Arabidopsis thaliana: one gene and its partner. The protein of the gene in region 1 purifies or fractionates together with the protein of each later gene. This does not show direct contact. Each region holds a gene or a part of one and is shown in the gene's direction. Other genes may lie near its edges. The genes, in order: CPK30 and CAM9.

Region 1 (16,520 bases):
GGATTCAGATCCACTAGAGATTGTCTGGAAGTATCTCTTTGAAGCATCTGCTGATGGGGAAAAAGGGAGCATGCGCAGCAGCCTTCTCAAACTCCCGAAGACGAATTTTACAGGTATTATGAATCAGCCTCCTCCTAATTACAAGGTTGAAGTTGGCAAAAAAGAGGAAAAAGATCTAGAACGGTCAGAAAGTAAAAAGATATGCAGAGGATCTAACCAAGAGGGGGACAAAGAACAAACTGACAAAATGTCTCAGAAGGTTAGCCAGTTTGGTCCATCCAAGAAATATGAACAACTGTTAACAATGAGTGAAGAAGAACTTGTGGTTGTGATTAAGAAAATATCATGCGACTCTTCCCTGGATCCTCAGAAGAAAGACTATATCAAGCAGAACTTGTTAATGAGGTAAGCTCTACTAACTCTCTTTTGGTGTCCTGTTCCAACATATTTAGATAAGCAGGAAATCTATTTAGTCTTGTATTGAGACTAAACTAATGTCAGGTTCTTCTTTCAGTCGGTGGAATATCTCACAACGTACATATAATTTGGAACCATCCTCTCTCTCGAGCAACATGGAAACAGTTCATGGTCAACATCCATCATATCGAGATCCTCACAGTTTGATCTTTGGTTGCAATCACTACAAGAGAAATTGTAAACTTCTTGCTCCTTGTTGTGACAAGCTCTTCACATGTATACGATGCCATGATGAAGAAGCTGATCACTCGGTGGATAGGTAGTAATATCTTCTACTTTCATACAAGGAGCTTCAACAATCTTGTTGTGTCTTTAATCATCTCTAGTTCTCTTGAATTTTTCATGCAGGAAACAGATTACAAAGATGATGTGCATGAAATGCCTCTTGATTCAACCGATTGGTGCAAATTGCTCAAATACTTCGTGCAAGTCGTCAATGGGAAAATACTTCTGCAAAATATGCAAATTATATGACGATGAAAGGTAACGTTTCTTCCCCTGCTTCATCTTTTCTTGCAAGTTATAAAACTATGAAATGAAATATCGTTCTTGTGCTTTCTTTCTAAGTATCGGTAGAGGGTTAACAGTCAAAGCTTATTCATAACAGGAAAATTTATCACTGTCCTTACTGCAACCTCTGTCGAGTAGGGAAAGGATTGGGTATTGACTACTTCCACTGCATGAAATGCAATGCTTGTATGTCACGTACCTTAGTAGAGCATGTTTGCAGGGAAAAGTGCTTAGAAGATAATTGTCCGATTTGCCATGAGTATATCTTCACCTCCAGCTCCCCAGTGAAGGCTCTTCCTTGTGGTCACTTGATGCACTCCACATGCTTTCAGGTACTTAACCCTGTCAAAATATATTTTACGTTAGTAATGAAAAAAGTAAAACACATGGTAATGCTAAGATTACTTAGGCTTTTTTCTTTGATTCTGGTTGTAGGAGTACACATGTTCACATTACACATGCCCTGTCTGCAGCAAGTCGCTTGGAGATATGCAGGTCAGTTACACCATTTTAAAGCAGAGTATTGTTTTCCCTATAAAACATTCACTAAACAAAAACCTTTCTCACACAGGTCTACTTTAAGATGTTAGACGCATTGCTTGCAGAAGAGAAGATGCCTGATGAATACTCCAACAAAACTCAGGTTTAGATCTTTCTCTATCTCTCTTCATAATGTTTACATAGTACAAAGCATCTCTCTGAAGAATAAGCTGAATGGAAAAATGGTTTGGTGCAGGTGATCTTGTGTAATGATTGTGGAAGAAAAGGAAATGCTCCTTACCATTGGCTTTACCACAAATGCACAACCTGTGGCTCCTACAACTCAAGGCTCCTTTAGATTTTTCTCCAATTTTCCTTTTCCATTGACATCATTGTAGAACCAGCCGTCTATGTAGTACATGGCTGGTAAGAAAACATTTTTGTAACATTTGATGATGTACAAAAATAAAATATAAAAAATATTCCAAATGTAATAAATTAGGGTCGTATCACCCTCAAAGATTGAATTATATAATGTTGACATGAGAACAAAAATCTGGAGACAAATTCCAGTCATCAATAACCTTAAACTTATGACCTACAAAACCAAACCATTGAGATTCCGCCAAAAGATCAAAAAAAATAAGAGGCCTTAAAAGAAGAAAACAAAACAACTAATCTACAACTAAAGCAAATGCATCCTCTCAACATATGATTCAAGCAACCAATTCTTGAGAGGCTCTCCGCTTCCTACAAAACAGCCTGAGTTCCCGTTCTCAGTGAAAAACGGGAAGTTGAATATGTTGAGCAATTCCTCAACTGCTTGTCTAACCATCGACGTGCCTGTGACTCTACTTCGTCTTCCCCAACCAGTTACTATATCAATCCGTGAAGGACAGTCTCCTGAAACCAACATCTGCTTACGGAACCATGCAAGTGTCCTGGAAAGTGCGATGACTGCAGTTCCTTCCGACATTACATGGAGATTTATAAGCCAATAGCTGTAGCTTTTCTCCCTCAATGCATCTGGATACACATTCTTACCTGCAGCCACTTCCCATACCGAGCCAGCCTCTTCTTTTAGACCTGACTTGTGGAGAAAATCCACTACTGCGTCCATGAGTCCTCGCTTGCTCTCTCTGTCCTCACTGTGCATAAAATCAAGGAAGTTGCTGACATGATCACGCACTTTTTGGCCATCAGGACCTGCAGGTGGCATTTTGAGCAGAAACATGTGAGCCGGATGACCTGAGACTGCCATTAGCTGGCCACAAAAGCCCATGTCAAAGTTTGAACGAGCATCTGTGCAACAACTCAATAGCAATGTGTATGTCTGCAAAGAAGGATGTAGACCAAGCGCCAGCATGCTTTGTAATAAGTTATAGGCTTCAGACATCCTGTGGACCCTAAGGAAAGTGCTGAGAAGGGAATTGCAGGTGGGAACATTAGGTCGCAGACCGGCTTGAAGCATTGCTTGATACCACTGCCAAGCTTTATCTACATTGCCAGCTTTTCCCCACAAGTCCACCAAAAGACCGTAAACCGGTTCATCAGGAACCCAGTTCTTACGTTGCATCTCAGCGAAAACACCCTCTGCTTCCTCGAGAAATCCACAGTGTCCAAGTACCTCCATAACAATACTGTAGGTCACTTTGTCAGGTTGAAACCCGGCATTTTGCATGTCTCTGTAGAGCTTCAACGCAGTCTCATAATTCCGCGCCTTGGCATGCAAAGCTATCATGATGTTGAATGTGACCAAATTAGGAGTACAACCTTGACCAACCATTTCACAAAAGAGCCTATGGGCAGCAGGTAAATGGCCCGCTTTTCCAAGACAGTTTATTATAACACTGTAGGTGAAGGTATCAGGAGAAAGCCCTGCTTCTTGCATTCTTTGGTACATATCCATGGCAATGTCAAGAAATCCAGCTTTAGCATGGATATCTATCAGGGTACAGTAAGTTACACGGTCAGGCTCACAACCAGCCTCTTGCATCTGATTAAAAACATTCATCGCTTCTTTGAGGTAATTTGCACGCCCGTAGCTATGGATGAGTCGGTTATATGTAACAGTATTTGGCTTACACCCATCCCTAACCATCTCATCAAGAAGCTTGTTTATCTCACCGAATTGCTTTGCACGACCAAGATTACCTACCATAGTGGTATACGTATGCCCATCATGCTTGAACCCAGGTTGCCTTTTCAGCCAATAGAAGAAACCAAGCGCATTCGCATAATTATCCATCTGCTTAAGAACTTGATTAGCTTGGTATGCATCCATCCTGAAACCAAAATTGTGAAGGGCCTCTTCGGCAGCATGTCCCCACTTGAATCTCCGCAATATACTAGAAACATTTTCTACAACATATCCAGGGTTACAATGCTGCCTAGGTGTTGGAGCAGTCCTTGGAGTCACTTTCATCATTTCCCTTGAGGGTTTACCAAAACCTTCAACAGAAGATATTATCGTCCTGTCATCCGAAGAATGCACACTATAGTCACAACCACCCGACGCATACCTGGTTGAATCAGTATAGGGTCTTTGTGGCATGATTTTCCTCTTTCCAGAGACATTGTTAGAGAGTAAATCATGAGCTTCAAACGACTTCCCAGCAACGTCATTTGAAGCTTGCTTAGTACCTGGAGAGCTGTTTATAGGAACTCGGTCAGCGGACCTAGGATAGACTTTAGCAAGGTGCTCTCTTCTGATGACTTTCACATTTGAAGACTTTACACCTGAAATAGGCCGAGTAGGATCAACCATACAGCTTTTAGGCAAACCAACAACTTCAGTTCCATCTGATAAAGGGATCTTATAGTTTGCTATATCTGACAATAAATTTACATTTCCAATACCAGCCTTGAATATCTGATCACCAATAGGTACCCCCACGTCTTCTTTAATAATAGCAGAAGCATGATTTACAGAATCTGCTTTCCCTGGCAAAGCAGGAGAGGAAACATGTTGCGGAAGAAGCGATGGCCGGGTGAAATGCTCAACCGTCTTTGGGACCACCAGCGGTTTACCAGCCTCTACTGGTAATATACTTCCAGCTAGTCCAGCTGCTAAATTAGATGCTCTTTTACCAGTCTGTACAACTTCAGTCCTAATTTGCTGGCGTTTCGAGACGCCACTTTCATCCTCAGCACATGTACAAGAATTTCCATCAGCAGCACTCGGTCTCGATCCACTAAGAAAAAATGATCTTGCTGAGCTAGAAAGATTACTAATGTGCTTTGCACGAATCATCGTCTGCAAGAAAACAGAATCACACGCTTAGAGAAAACACATAAAGATAATATCAAGAACTAAAAAAAACTGTTCCCCAAAACTATCTTAGTAACCTATAACACTACCTGAAGCCTCTCACCAGAATTATGACAACGGAGCCACCAAACGCAGTAATTAAGGTTTCAACACTTGGTCGTGTAACCAAGCCATGAATTACAAAGAAAAATTACATTTTATTAGCCATCTAGCTCTCTTGTCCACGAAGTTCTACACAAAGAATTGAGAAACTTTGTACATTACTTATTCAAAGTCACCCCATATCTTGTATAATTGTCAGAGTAAAACCCATTTAACAGAATAAAAATTGGGCTTTCCAGTTTTCTCTCAGCTTCTCCACAAAGTATCATCCTTTCACACACCAATAATACCAAAATGGCTATAACAAGAATATACAACAATGTCTATTGTCTAAGCTGAAATAGACCATCCCCATTCTCGAAATGCATTCTAACCAGTTGCTCAAAAAATATGTGCAGTGAAATTGAGCCTCTGTTAGAATCTCTCTTCACCTCTGATTCACATTCAAATCTTAAGAATATTGACCAAATTAAAGTCAACAATTAGAACATACAGTCAAACAAACATTATGAATACGTTCAATCTCAAAATTAACTCTCACAAAAACTGATAACAGCCGAGTTCCAAGCTCGATATCAACGAAAAGCAGAATAACAGAAGAGAAAAGAGGAGAAACCCAGAAATCAATGACATTTATTGCTAAGAAAGAAGCAAAATTTCAATCGGAAAAGTAAAGAACAGAAGCGAGATCACAAGACTACGAAGTCACCTTAAAAACGGTGGTGTTTGACTTCCTTCGTCTGCTTCGTTTTCCCCAGACAACAGAAAAAAGAAATCTTCAGGAGGAAATGAGAAAGAAAAGGAGAGACAGAAGGCGAAATTGCCTTCTCCCTCTGTGGCCGTCAAATATGGAAGCTTCAAAGTTTGTTTTGCTCTCCAAGCAAATTGGGTACTACTAGCTCCAAAGGTCACGACTTTTTTTTTTTTGCTTTTACTCTCTTCTTTTTTTCTTTTCAATAAATGTTTTCCTTTAACATACTTACCTTTTTTCAACTATACCCCTAAATCTTTGTATTTATGAAATAACATCACCCATAAATGTTTTTTCCTTTTATGAATTAGGCAACTCTAAATTGTATCTGATCGATTCGATTACGATACCTTCATAATTTTCAGTATATTCTTTAAATATAATATTAGCAGTGTTTTATATTGAAGAATTTCAGAATTTCTTATTTAAATCGCTTTTCCCGGTTAACAATGTGGTGTCGAATTACTATTTTTAAAGTTAGTGATTGAATTTGGGAATAAAAAGAATATTTGGATTTAGCTGTAAAAACCTTTTTTTGAACTTTTCGTCTTTTATTACTTTGTTCCCCTTTTGAGCAAACGTTTCGGTTCTGTCCTCCTCAAGTTTCTCTGTACTACTTTGAATATGACTGTTTTGTGACTTTCATTTCCTTTACTATTTTAGAGTTTAGAGAGAGATTTTGTGGGTATGATTCGATCCGAACTAAATTTCCGTGGCCTCTTTAATTTAGATTTTAGAACGGCTCCTTTTCTTTAAGATAGATTTTATAAACTTTTAATCCAAAAGAAATATAAAAAATCTGAAAAAATCTAAAAATGTGAAAGCACAACAAAGTTTTAAATAATATTTTGAAAAAGATACTTTTATGCCATTGTATTTGTGCATTTATGTTCTCCTTTGCAAGTGTATTCTCTTTAAGCTAAGAAAAATATATTGGGCTTTCCTATCAGTTATCTTATGAGCCCATTTCAAACTTTGTTTTTCAAGCCCAAATAGCTGCTGTATAAAAGACATTTGCTCGTTATATGATCCTAGTAGCTTCGACAAACTCATACTACAGCTTAATCTGAAACCCCATAGAATCTTAAACTAACCCTAAAGTATTCACTCCCAAACCTCATCATTTACTATAAGTGTGCAACATATGGAAAACAAACTTAGTCAGAGACATACTACAATCATTGAAATTAATGAATTTCAGATTCCAAAATGTAAATAAAACGGACCTGTGTCACTTGATCCATGCCAAATCACTTGCTGTCATTTTCTTGTTCTTCATAACACTAAAAGTTAGACTGAAACATGACTAATCTAGAAACTTATTGAGTTTCCTTATTACTTGAAAAGTTTTAAAAGAGATATGGATGGTAAACAAACCATCCCGCCGGTATATCACTATTCAAAGCCTAAGGCATGGATGATGGATTCATTCATTTCTTTTCTTTTTTTTTGAATTTAAGATTCATTCATATAAAAATATTAATTATCCCATAAAGTATATATAGTTTTAGGCTGTAGATAACAGTTTTATGCAAGAAAAGTGATGGGACTTGAATAAATCGAATAGTTGGCATGACAACGCCACATACACATGCAATCTCAAACATTCTAGTTGAGCCCATCATTTCATACACAATCTCATGTTTTTTCCTTCATCGACGAAAGTCCCTTTTTCCGAATAATAATTTTTCGTATTGTTAGTTTCTTTTTAAATCCTTTTTGCCAGCTAAAAAGTTGCACAAGATAAAACATGGTCCATCATTTCCTCTCTTTTTTTTTTAGGTGTGAAAATCAATCTCATCCATACTAATCTATTTGTAATTGATTTATCTTTTTTTATGGAATTTTATGTCTTAATAATTTATAACATATTACTATATGCATAAACATAACAAAGTTCGAGTAAAATATAACCAAGTTTTAAAACTTGGGGCTTATATAGCTAGTTTTCTCTAATGTATTGATTTACAAAGACTCGCTTTTTTTATTTTTTGCATGACTTTCAACGTTTCACACTCTTTTTGCCAATTGCACTAATTGTTGGTTGAAAGTATAACCGGGAAATAAATAAAAGACCTTCTTTTTTACCTACTGATATCAATTTGATGAGTGACATAAAGTGATAAAACAAAAATATTTATATTCATATGCACAAATTTTATCGTTTAGACGATGTACATGATGATCAAAAAGAGTTTCGGTTTCGAACTTCCAATTAGTTGTTGATAGGATGTGAATGTAAACCCGATTTATAGAAAGCAAACGAATAAGATCACGACATGGCGACACACTTGTCAATTAGTTTCGAATATAAAAATGAGAAATATATGAGAGAAAACAACAAGACGATCGCATTTGTTTGCATTTTTGTTGACTTTGATCAATGGAATCTTCATATATTAGTTTTGATTACTATTTTTTTACACAAAACAAAGTCCGATAGTAAGCTGACTCCTTTACATTGATAAAGTCTACACCTAATAATATCTCATATCTTAGATACAAATTTGATAGCTTTTGAAATTATCTTCACCAAATCTTTTGGTAGAAACTTTCAAATCACACATAAACTACTAGGGTTTTTTTTTGTTAAGAAAATCCAATGCCAGTTTTTATCTTGAATTTGACAACCCAAAGTTATTTATTTTCATACGAAAAATTAATGAAGACATTTTCCACTCGATAAATCTGTAAATATACATATGTATGTATATTGGTAAGAAACCAGTTTTTAAATATTGTATTTAAGAAACCAAATAGCAAAAAAAAAAATTGTAGATTCAGGTAGTTTAGGTAATGCTATAGACATATAATATAAGACAAGAAGACAATAATAATTACTGAATTGAAAACAAAACAAAATATTTTGGTGATACCAAATCAAATGAAACCAACGTCACACTTTTTGACAATGTCACCGTATCCACTTCTACGGTCAACAACTTCATCAAACTCTCCCCTTCCACGTAAGCTACATCTCTACCCTTCATTTTACCACCTATCAACAGATCTAAGGCTATAATTTTTTTAATAGTTATTTTAATTACTTACTCTTTTAGTTACAACACCAGAGACTAAAACTTGTTCTGTAATAATAATACAATTAATTAACTGTTAATCACTGAAAATATTTTACAATTTTTTATAAATTATAGGTTAGAAAATGGCTCAAAATTACAGTTTCTATGTAATTAATTTGTTTAAGTATATAGGGGAGATAGATCAAGTCGCTTTAACTTATTTTCTTTTTGATATAAATAAAAAAAATTATAATCATTTTGATCAATTTTACGAAAAGGTCGAAACTTTCTTCAGCTGAACCCGTGTTTCCTCTTCTCTGCAACTCACCGGTTCGCCGGAAAACTCTACGCCGTCGCCGGATTTTGCACCAACGAAAACTTCTTTAAACTACTTTCTTCATTATTCTTCTGCTGAGTTTCAAAAACTCAGCCATGGGTAATTGTATCGCCTGCGTCAAGTTTGACCCAGACAACTCAAAACCAAACCAGAAGAAGAAACCTCCACGGGGACGGCAACGAAACCCATACGACGATCCCGATGGTTTAAGAACTCACGCACCGTTACGTGTGATTCCTATGAGCCATCAATCTCAGATCAGCGACAAGTACATCTTAGGACGAGAACTCGGTCGCGGCGAATTCGGAATCACGTATCTTTGTACAGATAGAGAGACTCGTGAAGCTTTAGCTTGCAAATCAATCTCCAAGAGAAAGCTCCGAACCGCCGTCGATGTGGAAGACGTCCGTCGTGAAGTCACGATCATGTCAACTTTACCGGAACACCCAAACGTTGTGAAACTTAAAGCGACTTATGAGGATAACGAGAACGTGCATCTTGTGATGGAGCTTTGTGAAGGAGGTGAGCTTTTTGATCGGATTGTTGCCAGAGGACATTATACAGAGCGTGCGGCGGCTACCGTCGCGAGAACGATCGCGGAGGTTGTGAGGATGTGTCATGTCAATGGTGTTATGCATAGAGATTTGAAGCCTGAGAATTTCTTGTTTGCTAACAAGAAGGAGAATTCTGCACTTAAGGCTATTGATTTTGGTTTATCTGTTCTCTTTAAACCTGGTAATTTCCATAAAAATGGAATCTTTTTGCTAAATTTAGAATCTTTGATCTCCATTTTGCTTTCAGGTCACATTGGTTAAGAGTTGACAATTGTGTTACTTTGAATCTGCTTATGAATTTAACTTAAAAGAGAGATTTTGATGCATTTTGCAGGAGAGAGGTTTACAGAGATTGTTGGAAGTCCTTATTATATGGCTCCAGAAGTGTTGAAGAGAAATTATGGACCAGAGGTTGATGTGTGGAGTGCTGGAGTTATCCTCTACATCTTGCTTTGTGGTGTTCCTCCGTTTTGGGCAGGTTAAAGAAAGATTTGATTCTTGTTTGAAGTTGTATATGCTGATTGAGAGTAACTGAGTGATTCAAGGTTTTGATTGCAGAGACTGAACAAGGTGTGGCTCTTGCCATCTTGAGGGGAGTTCTTGATTTTAAGAGAGATCCTTGGTCGCAGATATCAGAGAGCGCAAAGAGCCTTGTGAAGCAGATGTTGGAACCTGATTCAACTAAGCGTTTGACTGCTCAGCAAGTTCTTGGTAATAATGCTGTTCTTGTGTCACTTGTGAATTTTGATCTTCTTTGCTACTTGTTTCTTGTGTTGGATTTGAGATGGAGAAAATGGCATTTAAAGTGAAAACGGTTTCTGTTTCCTTCTTTGCAGATCACCCTTGGATACAGAATGCAAAGAAAGCTCCAAATGTTCCTTTAGGGGATATTGTTAGGTCAAGGTTGAAGCAATTCTCCATGATGAATAGATTGAAAAAGAAAGCTCTGCGTGTAAGTGTTGCCTCTCATTTTTTTCAGATGAGTTTATACTTTTGTTTGGAGCTTTGATTGGTTTAACTTACTTGCTCCCTTTTGATGCTTCCAGGTTATCGCCGAACACTTGTCTATTCAAGAAGTTGAAGTGATCAGAAACATGTTTACGCTGATGGATGATGACAACGACGGTAAAATATCATATCTAGAACTCAGAGCTGGACTCCGGAAAGTCGGTTCACAACTGGGTGAACCAGAGATCAAATTGTTAATGGAAGTGGTAAATGTTTTACCAAATACCATTTCCTTATGAGGATTTTTCTTGATCAAACGATGTTTATCTTCTCTGGTACTTACATTCATGATTTTGATGCAGGCGGATGTTAATGGAAATGGATGCTTGGACTATGGAGAGTTTGTAGCAGTGATAATTCACTTGCAGAAGATGGAGAATGATGAGCATTTCAGACAAGCTTTTATGTTCTTTGACAAAGATGGAAGTGGATACATCGAATCAGAAGAACTACGTGAAGCTTTAACCGACGAGTTAGGTGAACCAGACAACAGTGTTATAATCGATATAATGCGTGAAGTCGACACTGACAAGGTTTTTCTAAAGCTCTATACATCAGCTCCTTTCTCGCTATAAAGACTCTTCCTATAGAAAGTTTATTAAATACTTAAGAGGAGTCATAATGTTTGATTTTGCAGGACGGAAAAATAAACTATGATGAGTTTGTGGTGATGATGAAAGCTGGAACTGATTGGAGAAAGGCATCAAGACAATACTCAAGAGAGAGGTTTAAAAGCTTAAGCTTAAACTTGATGAAAGACGGGTCAATGCATCTACACGACGCACTCACTGGACAATCTATTGCAGTTTGATCTTTACACTTGTTTATCACCAAAACAGAAGCAATCTGATGGCTGCTTTTCTTACACGTTCATGAAGGGTTTTTTTCTGGGCTTTTTTCAGATGTGATTTTGGCTTACTTCACTTTGTTTCTAGAGATTCTTTTTTTTGGTTTTGGGGAAGTTGGAAATTTGTAATTTGTGGGCGTAGTTAGGCTTTTCACTGGAGAATGAATGAATGTGTATGTAATATTTGTTTAATTATTATAAAGCTTCTTTCTATCACTCAGCTTATGTCTTGGACTAACCATAAACAACTGAACCATACAGCTATAAATCAGCAACTGACAAAAATCAATTGGACAAGACATGGGTTTATGTTCGGTTTACAGAGAAAGAATCAGTCAGCTTCTTGAAGTCCATCCAAAACAACAGAACCAACCAACAAAACAACCCCTGTAAGCGCAAGAGCACCGGCCAAAACCGCCTGAGCAACCACTAGAGTAGTTGAGTCATCCGGGATCAACACCACGGCTACAATAGCAGCCGTGAGAGCTGGTAATGCAGCCGAGGCTAAGACCGCAGGCGATGTTCCAGCTAAGTTCTCAAGGAGACTGAGAAGACCAAGGTCCTCTGCTTTGGAGAAGACTTTAAGCTTCTCAAGAGATGACAATGTGAGTCCCAACCCCTCTGCTTTTGACAGCAGGCCAGATTTCTCAACGTTGCTCAACACTTTTCGCTTCTCCAGCTTCTTGAAAACATCAACGTTTATTTGCTCACTCCCTTCGAAAAACAATCCAGCTCCGTACCATTGTTTCTTCCACTTGGCATCATATTTGTTCACCTTTTGTTACCCGATTCAGTGATCACAATTACACAAATTAAAAAGTATATATAAAACTCTGCAACAATACTATATACAGAGACTTCAATGTCTTTGTTCCATTACTAAAATGTACTGCTTATTCATGTTTCTAAAGATTATCTTGAGAATCAAAAAAGATTTATACTTTATGAAGTGATTGATGAAAGTGCAAAAGATCTCAGAACTTAAACAAAGGAGATGATTAAGAGAGTTAGTTACCTTTTTCTGGGGAGCCATAGCTACGACGGAGAAAGTTGCTGGTGATTTTCCGGTGGAGAAAGACCGGCGAAAGCGGGGGAGAATGGGATTGGAGAGAAATTGTGTCTGCAGCTGAGCCGCCGGAGACGATATTGGAGCGCCGACGACAGCCATTGAAGAAAAATCGAAGCGAAGCGATGAAAATGATTTCTTTAGAGATTCTTTCGTGTCTTGTTTCGCCGTTGGCACACTATCTGAAACTCTGATAGACAGAGAAACTGCCACGTCAGATGATGTCTTTGTGATTTCAACCAATCATTTTCGTTAGCGCTTTATCTCCGGTTTTTCACTTAGAATTTATATAATCAGACAATGTTTACATGTAATAGTTTAGGCGTAAACAAAATAAGTTAAATGAGGAATTAGTAAATCATTTTAGATTACAGAGAAAACTACAGAGATACCAAAAGCAAATCTGTGGTCAAAAAACTTTACTGACAAGTTTTGCTTCCTTTTTCACCTCTCAAATCTGAAATCTCTCTCGTTTCCTTCAAAATATTACAGGTCTCAAAGCTCATGCCATCTGATTATAGTTTCCGACAGAATCTGAATAATAAAATGAAGAATCATAATAATATGATAAAATTCTTAACCCATAATGAATCTTTTTATTCTATTTCCTCCTCAGCCCAAGAAACTGTTGGATACTCAAAAACACCTAACATTTACTATCTTGACATCTTTCTCTCCTTAGATGAGTCGATCGGACAAGCTTGGCAACCGCCGGAAAAAATTGAGACTAGCCGTAGGCATTGTGTCTCGGAACATCGGATGCCGAAGATAATAAAACCCTAGAGCCACCGCCACCATTTTCGCAGGAACTGCATACAGAACTATTGTGATTACCAAACAGATTGCTATGAACAGCTTTGTCGCTCTCGGATCTCTCCAGCTAACCAACGCTTGAATCCGTTCTCCTTGCGCTGCAAAATCTCCTAGAATGGTCTGAACCCTCACTGCTAAGATCCTTAATCGGTCGTACCTAGCTCGGATTACTTCTGGTCGCCTTGAGCTTGGTATGGTGTCGAATTCTTCATCTAGCTCATCAGGATCGACGGTTTCAGCTTGTGATAAGCGGATATCCATACCAGCCGGTATCTTGGGTCTAAACCGGTAGTACCAAACTCCGATCATCACCACGTACAAGAATGCAGTCGGGACTACCAAATCAGGGTACCAAACAAGAACCAGATATAGAATATGGACTAGCACCGTCGTCACTGGATTCCTCCACCGCCTGATATTATCCAACCACTTAGCTAAACCCACTGCCCAAGCTAAAACACCAACAATTCTGTACCAATTCGCTTTGCTTTTCCTCATGCTCCATGCATGCGAATCTGCATCTAACATATATCGAACTACCTCTGGTCCCAATGGTGGTTCTGCTCGAGCCAGCCAAGCTGCTACCATTTTCGTGGCGGCCCCTCTTAATGCATCTTGTTGTGCTACACCTAGAGGCCTTATGTAGTGCATCCGAGGCAGAAGCGGCTGTCCATAAGCTGCACAAACATCAGGCAGCAGAGACGGGCATGCAAACCGGACTGCCACTTCAATTTCACCCATTTTTTTCATACCGCTAGGTAACAAAACCAACAGAGGATATGAATTGGTGTACACTTTGTTGCTCTCTAACGTCGACACCCGGATCCGTATCTTCCCAATCCGTGTGTCAGGTCTATCATCGGAGGCGTCAGAGAACATCCTCCAATTGTCGAAGACTCCAACAGTTAGCACGGTGCAAGGATCATAAACCTGCCACGTATACTGCTCGTGCCACCTCGGGTCAAAACTGTCTGTTATGGTTCGAGTCCTGACCCATTTCTTCCCGTACTTAGCAACACAATAAGCATCAGTGGAACCTTTCCCTCCGTTTTTCGCCTTCATCGGCAACAACCCACGAGCTCCAAGAATCCCCAACTCAAGTATTCCAATCGGCGGTTTCCATAGCTGCTTAGCCGTCGGACGGAAATCGCTGCATACATGCGCCGCCTCTTCAAGCACATGATACCCACCTTCGAGACAAAGTCTAAGGCTAATCCTTCCACAATAAGGTCCACCACCACCACCACCTCCAGGTCCTCCTCCTCCACCTCCACCTCCACCTTCTCCTTCCAGAGTGTGCCATTTCGACGGCACAAAACGCTCATCAATTCGCTGCTCGATGGAGCTCACTGGGATCATGGCATGTCCTAGAAGTGTTGCTTCTTTAGTCGTCCGGTCTTCCACCATCAGAACCAAGCAATCTTCCAACGGCTCTCCAGCAACAAAGATCATATCCTCATGCCAATGAAACGAACCACTGTGGTTATTCATTGAGCCTCTTCTTGTACGCGCCGACTGAAACCCTAATTGAGCTTTCACACGAATCTCAGGCGCAGTCAACGGCGGGAGATTAGGAGCTATGTGTAAATCCTGTGCCTCAAGAACCGTCACTCTCAAGTACCAAAGTTTCGGCGATTGATACACCTTAGAACGCGTGTGAGCTACATGCGGAGCATCAGAGCTCCAAGCCTCCGGAAATGCCTCATCTACCTGAGTACCAATCCAAACAGAGAGCTGAATGTCACCGGAAATTCTCCCAGAGTTCTGATCCGCGCCGGAGCCTTCGAGCCGATACCACTGAGGAGCAAGCGGACTATCCGGCGGGTCACGAACCGGAACCTCAGAGAGATCAAAACAAACTCCTCCGAGAAAACTCTCCGACGAAGCATCCCAAGCAGAGATCTCAAGAGTCGCACCAGTTACAGCGGAATCAGACCGGTTATGACCAAGAGCAAAAACCTGATTCCACTCCGGTGAATCAACCGATTCGCCGGGCCGGTTAACGGCCGGTTTAGACCTGACGAAATGGTTCGACGTCCGTACCTTAACATACGCGCTCTCGTTAGGTGGTAAGCCACGCGCCTTCACAATCCGAACGAAGAGATACTGCATTGGCTCAACAAGATTGTAAGGATGATGAGTCTTCTTCTCCATCGTCGTCTCTCCTCCTCCAGTTTTGCTATTGATAACCCTAGGTGAATAATCTCCATTCGGTGGTCTCTTCGTAACCCTAATTCTATCTCCGCCGGGAGGTCTTCCTACTTGCATCTTCCTCACTTCCGGTGGATAATAATGTACTTCCCCAGCCGATGGAGGTGGCGGCGGAGACGGTGGCCGTTGAGGATGGTTATCATTTCGGTGAGGATGGTTATCATTTGGACCTTGCATTACATGCTGCGGTGGTGATTCTTCAACAATAACCACCGGAGGTTGCTGATGTGTCTCTGTATAGCGCTGACTCTGAGCCGATTCGAAAACCCTACCTTCTTCAACCACAACTACATTAGGTTTCTCCGGTGGTATATTCATCATCTGCTGCGGCGGAGGATGAAATTGTTGCTGGTGTTGTTGTTCATCGGCTTCTTGTTGCGGCGGATGAAATTGTTGCTGTTGCTGTTGTTGTTGCTGTCCTCCACCTCCACCCGCCGTGTCTTCGTCGGCGGCTTCGTCGTAATAGTAGATTTTGAGTCCAATCTCGCCGCGAATCCAGCTGAACACACTCTTCTTCTCCAAAGGGAAATACACAAGACCTTCTTCACCTCTTCGCGAGAACTGGCTTCCATAGATCTTAACCCTACCGAGAAAATGATTCTTCCGGCCACCTCCGTTACCAAATCTTTTATCGTTATAAACCTCGATATCGAGCTCGTCGTAATCCATGTTTTTGGGATCGGAGACGGCGAAATCAAGCATCTCGTTCCAAATAGGGTTTAGGTCACGGAACTTAGTGGAGGTTCGTTTCTTCTGAGCATCGAAATCGACAACGACGTAAGCGCTAGAGCTTCCTTGACCATCTTTAGGGAGAATATTACGAGCTTCAACAACTTCGACAACGAGCTTACGCTGGATCCTCGACGGCGGAGGATCCGAGTGAAACGGCGTCGTGTTCATCGTAGTGGTAGTCTTCTCATTTCTCGAGAATGTCTTCTTCTCTCATTAAGATAGTGAGAGAGAGAAGGTTTTGTTGTTTGTGACAGAGATTACGGTAATCGCGGAAGAGAGATAATAGAAAGTTTTTTTTTCGAGGTCTTGCTTTTTTTATTTGAATATATTCCTCTTTAAAG
Region 2 (15,340 bases), on another chromosome or scaffold:
GCTTAATGCTTATTTTTCTGGTCACAAAACAACTAAAATTATTGTACAGTATAAAACAAGAAGAATAAAAACAACTTCGAAATAGGAAAACAGGAGGAAGAAAATAATGGGATCCCACGAGCCAACACACAGGCCATGTGGTGTGGGGATATATATTTCAGAAGTTGTGTTTTGTGGAGACATGTCCACATATATACTTCCAATATCGGTTTTACAAATATTTATACATATGTATAAATTAGATGATACGTGAGACGTCAACTAGTTTTATGGCTAACTAATTAATCCTACCATCTACTCAAAACAATTTTCTAAAACATTTGCCAGTTTCATTACATCTTTTGCATTAAATTCTCTAAAAGTGAGCAAAAATGTTTTTACCGTTCCTTAGAGACAAAGGCACTCTCATAATTCACATCCGTACAAATAGGTAGTGGCAATTAATATTGAGGACAGTGATGAAATAAATCGATGGTAGGGATCTTTGACCATTGGTATTGGTTTCAAAGAAAGAGGCACAACACACACTTGGACTTGGTCGATTCATTAAAAATCGAACCCCAACACAACTGCAATTAAATGGAAACGAAGAGAGAGCTCAATCATCGAAGCGTGAGAGTCACGACCAACGAGAAGCGAGTGGATGTCTGGAAGAGTGGAAGCAATGGAGAGTGAGAGAAAGTTAAAAAAAATGATGTTGTCAGAGGGGGTTGAATGCAACACAACGTGCAATTTACCTTTTATTGTCTTAAGATTGGGCCCATTTTCTCTTTTTTCTTCTCTCGTTTTTTTTTTTTTGTATTCTTTTCAAAATATAGCAATTTCTACGAAAGTAGAGTAGAAAGATCTGTTTGAGTAAAAATAGCATTATTAAGAGCGAATCGAATGTGGAAGGCGACGTCATTTTACTGATTGGTGTAGTAGATCAAGTGAATGTTGAATTTCTTTTATACACCATTGACTTAACTAGCGTGAAGTCATTTATTTTGGTTTTAGCTCAATAGTTAATAAATACTATTGTCAACTGATAATAATTCAATAGTTATTCAATACACACATGCATAAATCAAAACTTTTTATAAAAGAATTCAAATTGTTCTCAGATATAAAATGGATTTTTTTTTTTAGCAAAAAAATTAAAGAAATATTATGGACATTGAAAAAGAGAGCTCCACAATTTGAAGTTGTTCTTGAACAAATTCCTAGGATAGGAGTCTGCTATGATTATGATCACGTGCATTGTGGTTGCTCATTTAGAAGCATTTGATTTTTTATTTAAAGAAGTTAAAAATGTAGCACGATCCAAACTATGCCAATGAACAGTGTATCATTCACACCATTTATAAATCAATTCATGATTAACTCATAAGCAATACACACCTTAATTGACCAAGAAAACATGACGATTGCAATCGACCTTTATAGCCCAATTATATATGGATTTAGTATATTGGGACCATTCATAGTTCATTTTTCCAACTTTTTAAGTTGAATGAGTTGAATCATTTTTCTTACTTATTCATCTTAAGTGGTAAAAAAATTGGATGAATGGTCATTCAACTCTTTCAATTTTTTAAATTTTAGGCAACCATTTCCACCCTTAAAGGTTATGTAGTCAAAGGTAATGCAATCATTCCTTTTAGTAAGATTTTCGTGTAATATCTAACGAGAGATGTTTAATTTGTAACGAATAATGACTAATAAGTTAATTTCATGGAAGTAATTATTCAGTTTAAAATGGCTTTTACTAATTCAAAAATGTTTATAAATGTATTCACAAAAAAAAAAAAAAACATTTTATAGCCTAATTATATGTGGACCTATTATATTAGGCCCATTTATAGCCCACACGAAATGAAATCGGGCCGTTACAGAACCGGAAGTTGAATAGACGACACCACCGACCGAATTCACTGCTCTCTTCTCCAATTTCCAATTTCCAATTCGTTTGCTTCATCAGCTCCCAAATTCTCCCGCTGACCCCTAAGTTCTACAAAATCCATCATCGTCGATTGAGATTCTTTATGGGAAAGTGGAATCATCGATCCAGACACCACCGTCGCAGGTCTCCTGAGCGGTGGTATAGCGGACGTCAATCTTCTTCTTCTTCAGGTATTCTCCTTGTTGATCTTAATCTCCACTCTTAATTTGCTTAATTCTGTATCTTACAAGTGTTTGATTGTCAAAGTTTATTGTGAAGACGATGGGATTCCAGTTTGGGAAAAGAGATTCTGTGAAGTGATTGGATCAGTACCATGGCAAAAAGTTGTTGAAGCTAAAGACTTTAAGAGCTGGTATAATGGTAATGTTATCACTTGGGATGATTCTGCTTGCGAAGACACTTTTCACAATGAGAAGAAGCGGTTTTGGTCACAAGTTAATGGTCTTCATTGTGATGTTTCTATTCCTGATCCTGATCTTTACATTAGTGAAGTAGATTGGGATACTTTTGTTGACCCGGAACTGATTAGAGATTTAGAAAAGGCTTACTTTGCTCCTCCTGATGATGTGAATATTGGTTTTAAACGGGGGCGTGGGGATAAGAATTGGAGTGGTTGTGACACAGTGCCTGAGGCTCGTATGTTAGAAACTCCATGGAAAAATAGTGATGACATTATTGAAACGGGGAAGAAATCTAGTGGATGGAACCTAACAGAGGGTAGTTCTTGGGAAGCTAAGCCTTGTTGTGTAAACGAGAAAGCAAATGATACAGCTTCAGGGGGTTGTTTGACGACTGAGGAATGGAGGGAGAATCAGTGGATAGCCAAAGATAGGGTTAATGACAGTTGGGAGTACTCGGGCCAGGGAAAGGATGATGGATGGGATAAGTCAGGGCACCAAAACAAGAAAGTAAAAGGTTCTGAAGAGTATAAAAAGATCGACAATCCTTGGGAAGCCCAGCCTAGTTGTATAAAAGAGACAGCAAAAGATACCACTTGGGGAGGTTGCTCTGGTGAGGGATGGGAGGATAGAGGTTGGAATAATGATTCTTGGGGCAGTGGGGGATGGGATAACCGGGATTTGGGAAATCAAGGTATGGAGATGAAGGAGTGGCGTGGTAAAGGATATAGTCGAGATTTTCGGGAGCCTAAGGGTTGTAATCCATGGAAAGGTGGGTTTGTGCCTGACAATGTAGCTTTCAGAGAATCTGGGGTAAATGCAGGCGGTTGGCAAACATGTAGAGGGAGTGAGACAAAGCAAATAAATTGGGATGTGAAACGAGCCAGTGATGGTTGGGGTAGGCAAAATGACAATGCAGCTTTGAGAGAATATGGGGCAAATGCAGGTGATTGGCAAAGACGTAGAGGGTGTGAGGGAAATCAAAGAAACTGGGACGCAAAACGAACGGGTGATGGTTGGGGTAGGCAAAATAAGGAAAGAGTTGACTCATATGGCTACCATTCTAACTACAAAAACTCATGGCCTAGAAGAGATGATTATCAGAACAGGAAGGTCAATTTCTCAACTAAGTAAACCAAATGATCCATTGTTTTTTGTTATGTTTTTTTTTTTTTTGTGTTTGAAGTCTTAGCTTGTTATGGTCTGTGCAGGCAGTGTAGTTTTAGCTTAGCCATTGACTTCCATGTTAACTCAAAAGGCATGGTTTTGTGTTTCCACTTCAGAATTAGCATATGTAGAGTATATAGGAGTACCCTTTTTGATGATAATGTCTCATACATACTAAAGTATTCAAGGTTTTTGCCTTTTGAGGCTGGATTGATAATGATTGTGTTCTTTGTGAAGATGTTTTATTCACACTTTTCTTAATTGATTCCAACTTCGAAAAGAAAGGCATCTACACACATGAATACACTTATGTTTTGGCTCAATGCATTCCTTAAAAGCTTCCTCATCTCATTTTTATATTCAAAACTGAGTTATTCTGCTTTAAAGAGTGTGATTTGGAATCAACAAAGTTGGGTATATGCTTCACTTTCAAAGCAATGGGTGCGTCTGCTTTGCATGATGGTGATGGAGAAAGTTGCAAACTCTGCTTTACTATTTGGACGGTGAGCATTCCATTGCTACAGTTTCAATACAAAGCAAAGGTAACCCAAAAGCATCAGACTTTACTCTGTTCTATATCATTAGGACCAAAACAGTTGGTAGACACAAATGTTAACAAAATAAGAATTCAATTCATATAATTTCTTGAAAAAATCCCTCATGACTTTACAAAATGAATAACAAATTACAAATATAAACCAAAACGTATATGAAAACCAATCCAAAAAAAAAAAAAAAAGTACTATATCTTTCACTCATTCCTTTTGCGTCAACAATGTCTTAAAGCTTGATTTCTTCTCTTCTAAGTTGTCTTGTTTTGGTACCCACCAAACCCTGAGACTCTTGTCAAGGCCTCCACTGTAAAGCATGAAGCCAGCACCGACATTGTTTGGCGACGCTTGTAAGCATTTGACCGGACCTTCATGGCCATGTATGACTCCGAATTTACAGAGCATGCCAGTCACTTCTCTCCTCCACAACCCAATGCTCTTATCAGCCGATCCACTGCATACCATTTCCCCAACTACACACATACACAGAACTGCCATGTTATGTCCTCTTGTCTCAAACCCTAATCTCCATTCCTCAAAGTCTCCTTCTTTCTCTTTCTTCTCCCATCCGATCACAAACCCGTCTGATCCTCCTCCGTATACCCAATTACCGTCACCGGAAACCACCACCGAGTTCACTGACACCTCTGCACGACCCTCCAACGTAGCCTTCAAAACATGTAAAGAAGAGGAAGAGGAAGAAGTAGACTCAATCTGCTTTCTCTTCTCTTTCCCCCATATCTTGACCTTCCCATCTGCGGAAGCAGAGTATACCCTGCCATCTCCGGCGACAAGACCATTGATTGCGTCATCATGAGCCTTGATCGATTCAAGACACTTGAGATCCGACAGTCTCCAGACTTTGAGAGTCTTATCCCACGATCCAGAGTAGATTATCCCAGCGTGTACCGCAAGGCACGAAATGCTATCGGCGTGTTCAATCCAGAGACGCTTATGGTTCCTCCTCGTCTGAACGTAATTGCTCTGTTTCATAAACTTCCCCAGATAGTCTTTAGTCGTGGGAAGTGTATCAACAAGCCTGAAAGCATTCTCAGAGTTTCTCCGAGAAACTTTCCAAACTCTGATTCTACTATCTTGATGCGCCGTGAACACTTTGCTTCCCACGCTGACCAAAGCCTTCACAGACCCATCACCTTGTCCGAATTTCGCAAAGATCTTGAGATCAGGCTGTTGCCAAACGATGATATCTTTTCCCTGAGACGCACTCAGCAAGAACTCACCACAGAGCGCTAAGGAAGAAACAGAGCCGACATGAGCAGAGAGAACAGCGAGTGGCTTGTACGCGCCGGTGATAGGCGGACGGAGAGTGTTGAGGACGAAGCTTTTGGTGGACGCAGATGGGCTGAGAGAACCGTCGGAGTCGTTGCTGTTGCTTGTGGTTGAGGAAGAAGATGAAGACATCAAGACTCCTTCTTGGATTGATCTCACCATCGTATCAAGAGATTCAAGATTTCGTTTCTATTTTGGAACAGAGAAACCAACAAAATTGGAGCGTTTGAGGAAATGTTAAAAAGAGTATTTATTTTTAAAAAGGAGGAGAAGGTGCAACGGCTACATTGACAGGTGGCGTAGCCTCCTTTTTTTGCCTTTTGCTTATCATTTGCGCATTTTCATTAATTCGTGATATATGGCTCATGGAATCTTATAATATATGAAACCACTTCAGGAGCCTTAAATTTAATGTGTGCATATCATAGTAACGGATTGATCATTGTTCTCTTGTTTGACCAGTGATGTTAATTGGACCATATGTGGATACTGTAACGTTAAGGATTATGAAAATCAAGATATAGATATATGTATTTTTCAAGTATACGATATACCAAATTAGTTACGACAAAATGCGAATGAGTTGGTAGTAATGAGTAAACCTCAAAATACTGTTTTTTTTTTGTCAACAAACTTATGTTATTATACTTGGATGACTTAAATAAGCTAAACCGAAAAACATTGTTTAACCTCAAAATACTTATTTAATTAGTTGGTAGCATCGTTACATATTATAATTACGACTACGAGTTAGATTCTCAAATAATATTCCCAAATGGATATATTTACATCGATTGATGCATGCTTATTTGTAGTGATCGTCCCTTATGTATATTATGTTTTTATTTTATTTTTTGAACATAGTATAATATTGGTGGGAGAAGACAAAAATAAGGGAGCTCTGCCATCTAATACGGGAATCAAGATATCTGTTTTACATCAAACAAAGACTAGTGTGATGAAATGAAAGTTAAGTTAACAACAATAAAAAACAAAATTAGCTGAAAATGTAATCAAATGAGAGATCCGAATCCGATCTCCGCTAAGTAAAGCGTAGTGGGAGCGTAAATTCGCGTGAGTCTGATTCTGAATCGTATCATACATACCAAATCAAACATTAACGTTTATGATCTTACTTACCCATATCTTATTTCTTAATTTGTTTGGTTGTTTGTAAATGAGAAATACACTATGATAAGAGAAGAAGATCTAAATGAGGCATAGATCTCTAGATACCAAAACAGATAACGCCACCAACTAACATCCAATTAAGGATATATAACACGGCATCTCCCTCTTTAGTAAGCTTACGACCAAAGTAGTGTGACTAGTGCGGAACATTTTTGCAGTTAATACTACTTAGCCTCAATTCTTAATTATGACCGTATGGGACAGGGTAGGTAGGCACAAAGCGGATATTGTTTTTAATATATTTGCATCGAATTTGGTTTGTTGGATCGATAATCTTTTAATATGTATCCGCTTTTGAACTAGTCTATTCTCCGATTGTAGAATGAAACATCTATCCGAAATTCTAATTTGTAGTATTAGTGATTTGTTTTGTTTTTAACAGTATTTTAATATTTGTTTAAATTTGTAAACTTATGGTTATCCAGACTTTTTGAATCATTCAAAAGTGGAAAACAGATCGAATGGAAGTATAGAACACTACAATATATTTTCATATTTTTCTTAGCCGTAAGCCACTAATATTGGATGGACATAAACATAAGAGACCCCACAATATTTATCAGATTAAGCCTTTATTCACATTACAATGTTTCGTTCTCAACTTCTCATCATAACGTGAATAAAAGTAGGAGTTAGAATTAGAACACAACATCTCTAACAAATCTCTTATCTGCATTGCTTTGGAGAGACATGTTTGTACAAGAAGAAAAATGTTTATGGTCAGTCCGTTTTTTTCATATTGATTACCTTTTAAATCCCATTTGGTATTAAAAAAAACCCACTTCTAAGATATGTTTCGCTTTTTATGGTAACAAGACATATAACTTTTCAAAGTTACTGAATGGAATTCTTGACAGAAGTTGTTAGGACACTAAATAATGGAAAATCAAAATCAAGGGTTACATTAGAGACACGCGTACATCAATTATTTCTTAAAATGCAACTTGGTGTACGACTTTTAATTCTTGAGTCCTCAAACCCGAGCATTACTCCACCCTTTCTTTTCGCAATAATCAAGATCCTAATTTAATTCCCTATAAGTATTTTTTCTAATAACTATGAAAATAAAGAAAAATAAGCGTTGAAGTCATAAGTTTGAACAAAGACGCGTGACCTGGAATCGTGCTCAAGAAAAAATATCACAACTAATGAAAACGCAAGGTCATGAGTATTGACCTTGACCGGGCAAGAGCCTAGAGCCAAGAGGTGATGTGTACTTAAATGTGATAGATGCTCCCTTCTTCTTCTCTCATCACTAACAAATTAAGAGAAGCTGATCATCAGATTGAATCAAAGACAGACTTTGACTTTTCTTTGTGATCGAAGATATGGCGGATGCTTTCACAGATGAACAGATCCAAGAGTTTTACGAAGCCTTCTGTCTCATAGACAAAGATTCCGATGGTCTGCTTTGTTCTCTCTCTTTCTTGTTCGATTTGATACACAAATTTATTCAGAATCGATCGGTTTGATGATGTTATGATGCATGTGAAACAGGGTTCATCACGAAGGAGAAGCTAACGAAAGTGATGAAGTCGATGGGGAAGAATCCAAAGGCGGAACAACTGCAACAGATGATGAGCGATGTTGACATCTTTGGCAACGGTGGCATCACTTTTGATGATTTCTTGTATATTATGGCTCAAAACACTTCTCAGGTAAAATATATATACACACTTAAAACCGTTTAGTTATAGTAAAGATTGATAATTGTAGAGAAAAGTTAATAATGAAAAAATTGGTTGTAGGAATCAGCATCGGATGAGTTAATTGAGGTATTCAGAGTGTTCGACAGAGACGGAGATGGTCTCATATCTCAACTTGAGGTAAATAAATTGTCTAACTATTTACCAAATAGTACATTGTCCTGACATGGAAACAATAAAAAACGAGTTACATACATATATAATAAGATTAAGTGATCATGTAGATGGATATAACGAAAGAAGAGAAATTACTAAATGTTACTTTTTTGAAGACCTTGTTATTATTATCTTTATAATCTACTATCATTCACTCATTACAACACAAATTTTTGTCGCCATAAGAAACTCCATTGCTCATATGGTCTTGTTTTTTTTTTCTCAAACCGACACGGCGACAACACAACAATCGAGAGACACATAGTCACATACTACTTGAAAAATACTTCGTTATCTGAATTAAAAAGATTTATATTCAAAAATAATGCAAAAAAGATTGGTCATTTAACTTGGTCAAATGGTTATTAGCTTACTTTTATAATATAAGCCATTCTCTTAACTCTTAAGTCTTAACTATAGTTTATTTAGCCATTTCTCCTAATTTCTATAAACGAAATGCAGTTGGGAGAAGGAATGAAGGACATGGGGATGAAGATAACAGCAGAAGAAGCGGAGCATATGGTCCGAGAAGCCGACCTTGATGGCGATGGTTTTCTTTCTTTCCACGAATTCTCTAAAATGATGATTGCTGCCTCTTATTAGCATTTTGTGAAATGCCATGATTTAAGAGTTTGTTTTTGCACAATTACAACTATATTTCAATATGTTACTATATTTTCCCAACATATAATTAAAGTGTGTGTTACTGAATCAATGATTTTTTTCGGTCGATAAAAAACTATAATATTTTTCCTATCCAAAATTCGAACCAAACCAAACCAAACCAAAAGTATTGTTCTGTTTTAAACATATGTTTTTTAAACCGGAAAATCCAAACCGAACTAAACCGAGAGTAATTATCTGACTCGGTCACTCGACGGTAGCGTGCCACAATTGAACTGGTGGTCGATCCTTAACTTCCATCTTCAATCCTTGCAAAACCCTAATGAAGAAGCAGTCTGAAGAACCAAAAATCAGTGGTTTTTTAATAAGTAAATGGTGAGAAAATCTGTTGAACTGTCGAATTTGTTTATAACCTATCAGCTTTGCTATAAATTGTTTGTTCCAAATTCCAATTCAAGTCCCCATCATTGAAGGTTAAGTAGCTTTGCTTTTTTGTCTGCCGACGGTTGTTGTAGAAATTTATGATGTTCTTGATGCTTGTCACTTTCACTCATATTGAGATCTGTCTCTCGATTCATGTTTCTTCATCACAGTGGACACAAAATGACCTAGAAGCTGAGATAGTATATTTACATTGAGTAGAGCAATTTAGTACTTGCAATATTCGTTTTAGTAGTGTCTAAAAAAGATAAGGCTTTGGTTGAACTCCATTCTAAAACCCTTACGACTGATTGAGCAAGAATCTTTACATTGATTATAGCTTTGTTTCCGTGGAAAAGTTTCTACAGTCCAGCCATGCAAACAAGGCGATGGCAACATAGGAAGGAGATAGGAGATTGATTAGATTTTTTTTTTGTCAATCAACAACTAGCTGCTGTAGAAGAAACTTTAGATCAGAAAACAGAACAGCTAATCACTGCTAAAGAGTTTTCCTCTTCTTTGTCATGAGACATTCCACCATCTTGTGGATTCTTGATCTTTGTAGCAATCTTCTTGCTCATAGTTGTCTTTGCTCTCATTTTAAAGTTATTTTCTTGAAGACTAGAGATCAGAATTTTGACCGGAGAGAGTAAACCATATTACATGATTCCACTAAATTAACACTGTTACAGGTTAGAATCACGGACATGGATGATTGCTCACTCATGTGGACTTGTCTTAACACTGACCCAAATAAGCCAAAACTCCTTAATAGCATTAAATGATGTGAAAAAGAGAGATCACATTTGGAAAAAGGGTTTAGGGCAAAAAAGAGTGAAGCAGACAAAGACATCATTCAACGTCATCAATAGGTCTTTGTAAGAAGAGATCAGAGAAGAGTTTAGATGGAGTTAATAACAATCATATTTATCACATACATATACACATATATGAAAGAATTAACCATTTTTTTGTTTACACTACTACTACTACTACTTGATAACAAAATTACTGCAAATTAATTAAACAAACAGAAAAAGTTTTTTTTTTGTGACAGAAGAAAATGAGCTTGAAAGTAGAAGAAACTAAAAACAAAACCAAAAAGAAATCCATCTAGTTAGGAGGTGGAAGCCAAACTCTCATCACTAAGCAACTCTTCCCAGAAACCATCATCCAACTCTCTCTCTACCACCAGTTGATGATCCTCTTCTTCCAACATATTCCTCTGTTTTCCATGCCCTTGCATCTCCAAAGCCAAAACTTCCAATTCCGACATCGAAGAAGAACCTCTTTTCCTCTTTGCTGACTCATTATCCTCAAGCTCCTTAATTTTTTTATCTCTTTGTTTCAACAACTGATGCAAAAACGAAGGACTCTGCATTGCTCTAGCCAGAAACGACATCATTTGTCTCTGTTTCCTCTCTGTTCCTTCTATCCTCTGTTCCATAGCTTTGATGTAGCTTTTCGTTGTTTGTTGCTGCTGTCTTAGACTCACTATCTCCATCATTAGCACTTGCTTCTCTCTGCGAAGCTCGTTGCAAGCGTCATGGCTTGGTGAAGATGATGGAGTAAAAGGGTTTCTCCTCTTGATGTTCTTCAACAACTGTCTTTGTCCTAACAAAAACTCTTCGTTTGCAAATTCCCATCTCTCTGCTTCTATCTTTCTGAAACCCTGTAATTTTTTTAACATAAGTATTCAAAAACTAATCTTTTGAAAGTCTACATATTCTCACAAACATCAATAATTGGAGTGAGAACTCTTTCTATGTTTTTATATGTTAAAGAATGGAACAAGTGGGCAACGTTAAAGCTGATTAGTGAATAAACAATGGAAATTGGGATAAGATCGCTGACTGTTTCTTTTGATTATTTTAGTAAGCAAGTTGACACGAAACTTGCTTCTGGAACTTACTAAACCTTCTTCTACTCCACTAGCCATTACGGAATCTACATTTTCGATGTTTCTAGAATGCTAAATTAACAACAGATTCTGCTGTAAAAAATGACTTTTTTCCATTACCAAGTTAATTATATAGTAACATTCAGAATACTTCGCGGTAATTTTCCAGCAACAAGGGAAATGAAAGTTAAAAAAATAAAAGAAAAAAACAGAGCATTCCTCTGCTTTGAATGCTCTGTTTTGTGTTTGGTCAGAGAATACAGAGCAGAGAAGACTCACATAAGTATTGAGTTGTCTGATGAAACTTGAGAAATTGCTGTGTTTGAAATGACGAGGAAGGAGAATCGTGGAGAAAGAATGCAAATCCCAGACGACAAAACTTGTTCCTCCTCTGTTCCAAGATACGATGTGGTCAGTGTTTGGATCATCCACCATCTCAAATGTCTTGGTCAGAAATGGAGGTGGAGCATTTTCGTGTAAACCCTCCATTGGTTGTGGTGGTGGTGGTGGATCGCAGCCTTCCGGGAGAAACGGGTTCATCATCCTGAGGTAACGGGTTTTGAAAAACCCAATTGGAAATTAAAGACAAGATTCTTGATGATTTCGATTAACCAGTCTCCGAAGTTGAGTTCATCATCTTCGGATTTTGAAAAACTGGTCGGATTAAGTTCGTTTATGGCAGTTGATGGAGTGAGGAAGGTAATGTCCACGTAAGATAATTTTGAGGTGGCTTTATATAGGAAGAGTAGAAAGTGAGTGATGATATTAGATTTGATTAAAATATTTGTAAAAATTATTATTATAGTACACTCAAGTTAGAAATTAGAAACTTCTGGAAACGGTTTTGGACCTTTTTGATGCACATTCGAATAGTCGAAACTTCTGGAACTTCGTAATTGAGGACTGTACGGTATGGTTTTCACATTGTTAGTATTAGGACCCACCTTTTGTGTTTTACAAATATAAAAACAAAGAGTGATGCAAATGGCAAATTGTAATTGGGTTAAGTTTGGTTTTAATGTTGATGTGGCTGTTGTCTCATCTTGACATTTGGCTTGGGTCTAAACCGGATTGGTTAAGGCTAAAATAAAACCAACCAGAAGTACTCCAAGAGTTGATTGACAAATTCCCTGCAATTCGAAGGCCTCCATTAATTTCTGACTAGTAAATTTCTTAGGTATTTTTCTTTATAATATATAAGTTAGAGATATTTATAAAATATACACTTTTATATTAATATATGGCTACAAAACATTTCTTCTTTTTAAAGCAAAAACTTAAACCCTTAACCCAAAAGAGAAAAAATGGGTACATGCCTTAAAATGGACTACTCAGGTAATTCAGAATTGGTCGGTCAGAACAGTATCTGGAGCACAACTTCGTTGTTGTATTTTTTCTTTACATTCGTAGAACATAGTTTCTAATCAACAAAAAAATACACGAAAAAAGATAATAGTAATTCACTAGCAAACAATTTGTATATATTTTTTGTCGTTTGACCTTCAAGAATGGGTACATGTATTTAAATCAGTTTATTCTGAATTGGCCGGTTAAAACAGTATCTGGAGCAGAACTTCGTTGTTGTTTTTTTTTTACATTCGGAGAACATAGTTTTTTTTAATCAACAAAAAGAAAAAAAGATAATAGCAACGCTAGCAAACAAATTCTATATAGGTTTTGACCATACATAGAACAAATCCTAATTGGTCCGCTTGGACTCTTCCTAGAAGCTGTAGACTTCGTAGCCACCTTTTTGATGCAATCCTCAAACATGTGTCGAACAGTCTAAGTGACACTTGATGCATTACCGCGATGCCTCATGGTACGTGTTTGTACTCAACATCTGGTCTGTAGTACCAGAGACAGACAGGATGATAAAATATAGTAGAGATTTCGAATTATTTTATATTCAGCAACCTGCTTAACAAAATAATGTGGAGACATTTGATTGAACCATTTCTTTTGACTTTTTCTCCGAAAATATTTTTTAATAGTATGAATGAAGTTACAATTCGGGATTATAGAGTAGACTAGCTAGTTTAGTATTTGGTAATTGGTGCTTATCGATTAATTCTATGCGTTAATACTTTGTTACGTATAAGCATCAATTTTGATGGTCTATTTATTTATTAAACACAAAATTTCATTGTCTATTTCAAAGCAAAATCATGACATTTTTTTATTTTTTACTCCATTTTAAACAAGTCATGTTGATTTATGATATTGTTGTAGTTCCACTAAACACGTTTTTCATTTAATTGTACGTTTGGAAATAAATATGTTACTTAAAAGAGAAATATTGGCATAATATTACCTCCTCTTCGTAAAAAATTATTAAGATTTGTTATGAAAAATACTATTTGTTAAGAGACTAGTGAATTTGGATCCTCACAAGGGATGTGTACCATCAACCATGTTAGATGTATTGTCAAGGCCCAAAATGCGAATAATGGGCCTGTCTAGACCCCCAAAACATATAGTGTCATATTTAGTCCTTTTTGTTCGGCTAGCAAACAATAACCGGTCCACGGTCCACCCATGCTAGAAAAATTGTCTTGCTTTTGTTTTCTGGTTACTACGGGTGATCTCCAATATGCCATTGTACACTCGTCATTTTCTAATGCCCGCGTAGGACATGCGAAAAGTTCGAGGCAAAATTATAACGAAATTTTATGAATATGTTTTCCTAAATTGTCGAAATTTTGAATAACCTATATATATAGATTTACAGAACACTGTTGATTTTGTTTACTTTGGTTCAGAGAGAAAATTTTGGTACCAAAATCTTTTGTTTAAATAGTCATTTTATATTACTTTTAAAAATAATCGATTTGGATTTGTAACATTTGTTGACTAATTGTCCCAAATAATTATTATGGATATTTCAATCGAATTGGTATATGGCTCCATATGTTAAATCGAACAATTGCTATTTACAACTACCTGAGCTAAATTGTTTATTTAAATCGAATTAGTTAATCGGGCAAAATCAAAAGATCGTGTATTTTTATAAAATTAGTTAAGTTGATGTGATTTTATTTAAGTTACTAGCTTTGTTTGCATTTACAATCACACATAAAAAAAAAAAAATATGAAAACCAGAATTTTATTCTAGATTCTAACGTTTTCCAACAAAGAAAATAAAATTAAACTTTGTATTCTACATTTCGTAAGATGTTTATTCAAATTAGAAAGTATTGTCGCATGTTACCAAAGTCAACTTAAAAAGTTTTATCACATGTTATAAAAAGATAATAACAAATTTGAAAAATGAGCGTTGTGTAATGATACGGAGATGACTTATGAGGCACATAAATCTGAACTTATACATAATTTACTACAAACATGAGATTTTTGGTAAAACTGTTCTTAAGTTCTTTAATCAAAATCACTTGTTAAGATAATGACACTTAAAAGTAAGTTAAGTAACTAAGGTAAACTGAGATGTATAATGATTAATCCAGTTCGACCAGACATTTGCGATCCATGTGTTTATTTGACTTTATGAGACCGCCTACTTTATTTCCCATGCATATTCTTACCGAGACATCACACGACTGCCTTATTCTCCTATCCAAAGTAGTCGGTCCGAATAGAGCATGCCAAGACACAAGGAGAAAAAGGTGGATAATAATATCTGACACAAGTCACACAACCATATAACAACAAAAAGTTTGAAGCCTAAATAGTAAAAAAAAATAAAAAAAATATTGTTACTATAACATCTACTTTGCGTATAACTCTTTTAACTTTGCAGATAACTACCCAAGTACCCAACCATAAAACCTTTAGTAGAAGTCAGTGGGTCCAATGCCCCAATCCATATATTGGGAATCTCATTTTAGCCAAAGTGGATGGCACTTGAAGAAGACTTGCCCACTTTTTCAAATTATGGGGGTTACAACCAAAACTTATGATCATTGCAATTCTACATGCTTCTTTATCAAAAATAAAAAGCATGTATAGCTTAAAGGATTTATTTTGCGGTTGGAGAA

What was found.
Region 2: the proteins of CPK30 (region 1) and CAM9 purify together in Arabidopsis thaliana (affinity purification with western blotting, with the first as the bait; one study listed by BioGRID). This does not show direct contact.

What each region holds. Positions count from the first base shown.
Region 1 is NC_003070.9:28,075,000-28,091,519, reverse strand, and holds CPK30 (calcium-dependent protein kinase 30), read left to right. Parts: upstream 1-8,848; 5' UTR 8,849-9,043; coding exon 9,044-9,683; intron 9,684-9,836; coding exon 9,837-9,980; intron 9,981-10,060; coding exon 10,061-10,213; intron 10,214-10,338; coding exon 10,339-10,454; intron 10,455-10,548; coding exon 10,549-10,716; intron 10,717-10,812; coding exon 10,813-11,043; intron 11,044-11,147; coding exon 11,148-11,321; 3' UTR 11,322-11,574; downstream 11,575-16,520. Other genes in the region: AT1G74770 (zinc ion binding protein), read left to right, coding at 1-405, 515-736, 826-960, 1,085-1,319, 1,423-1,482, 1,559-1,630, 1,724-1,825; AT1G74750 (Pentatricopeptide repeat (PPR) superfamily protein), read right to left, coding at 2,153-4,720; AT1G74730 (transmembrane protein, putative (DUF1118)), read right to left, coding at 11,689-12,132, 12,373-12,525; QKY (C2 calcium/lipid-binding plant phosphoribosyltransferase family protein), read right to left, coding at 13,102-16,347.
Region 2 is NC_003074.8:19,261,842-19,277,181, reverse strand, and holds CAM9 (calmodulin 9), read left to right. Parts: upstream 1-7,523; 5' UTR 7,524-7,867; coding exon 7,868-7,943; intron 7,944-8,036; coding exon 8,037-8,197; intron 8,198-8,287; coding exon 8,288-8,365; intron 8,366-8,863; coding exon 8,864-9,004; 3' UTR 9,005-9,231; downstream 9,232-15,340. Other genes in the region: AT3G51940 (oxidoreductase/transition metal ion-binding protein), read left to right, coding at 2,025-2,112, 2,189-3,474; AT3G51930 (Transducin/WD40 repeat-like superfamily protein), read right to left, coding at 4,263-5,510; HSFA7A (heat shock transcription factor A7A), read right to left, coding at 10,563-11,117, 11,625-11,888. UniProt on the Arabidopsis thaliana protein: Potential calcium sensor.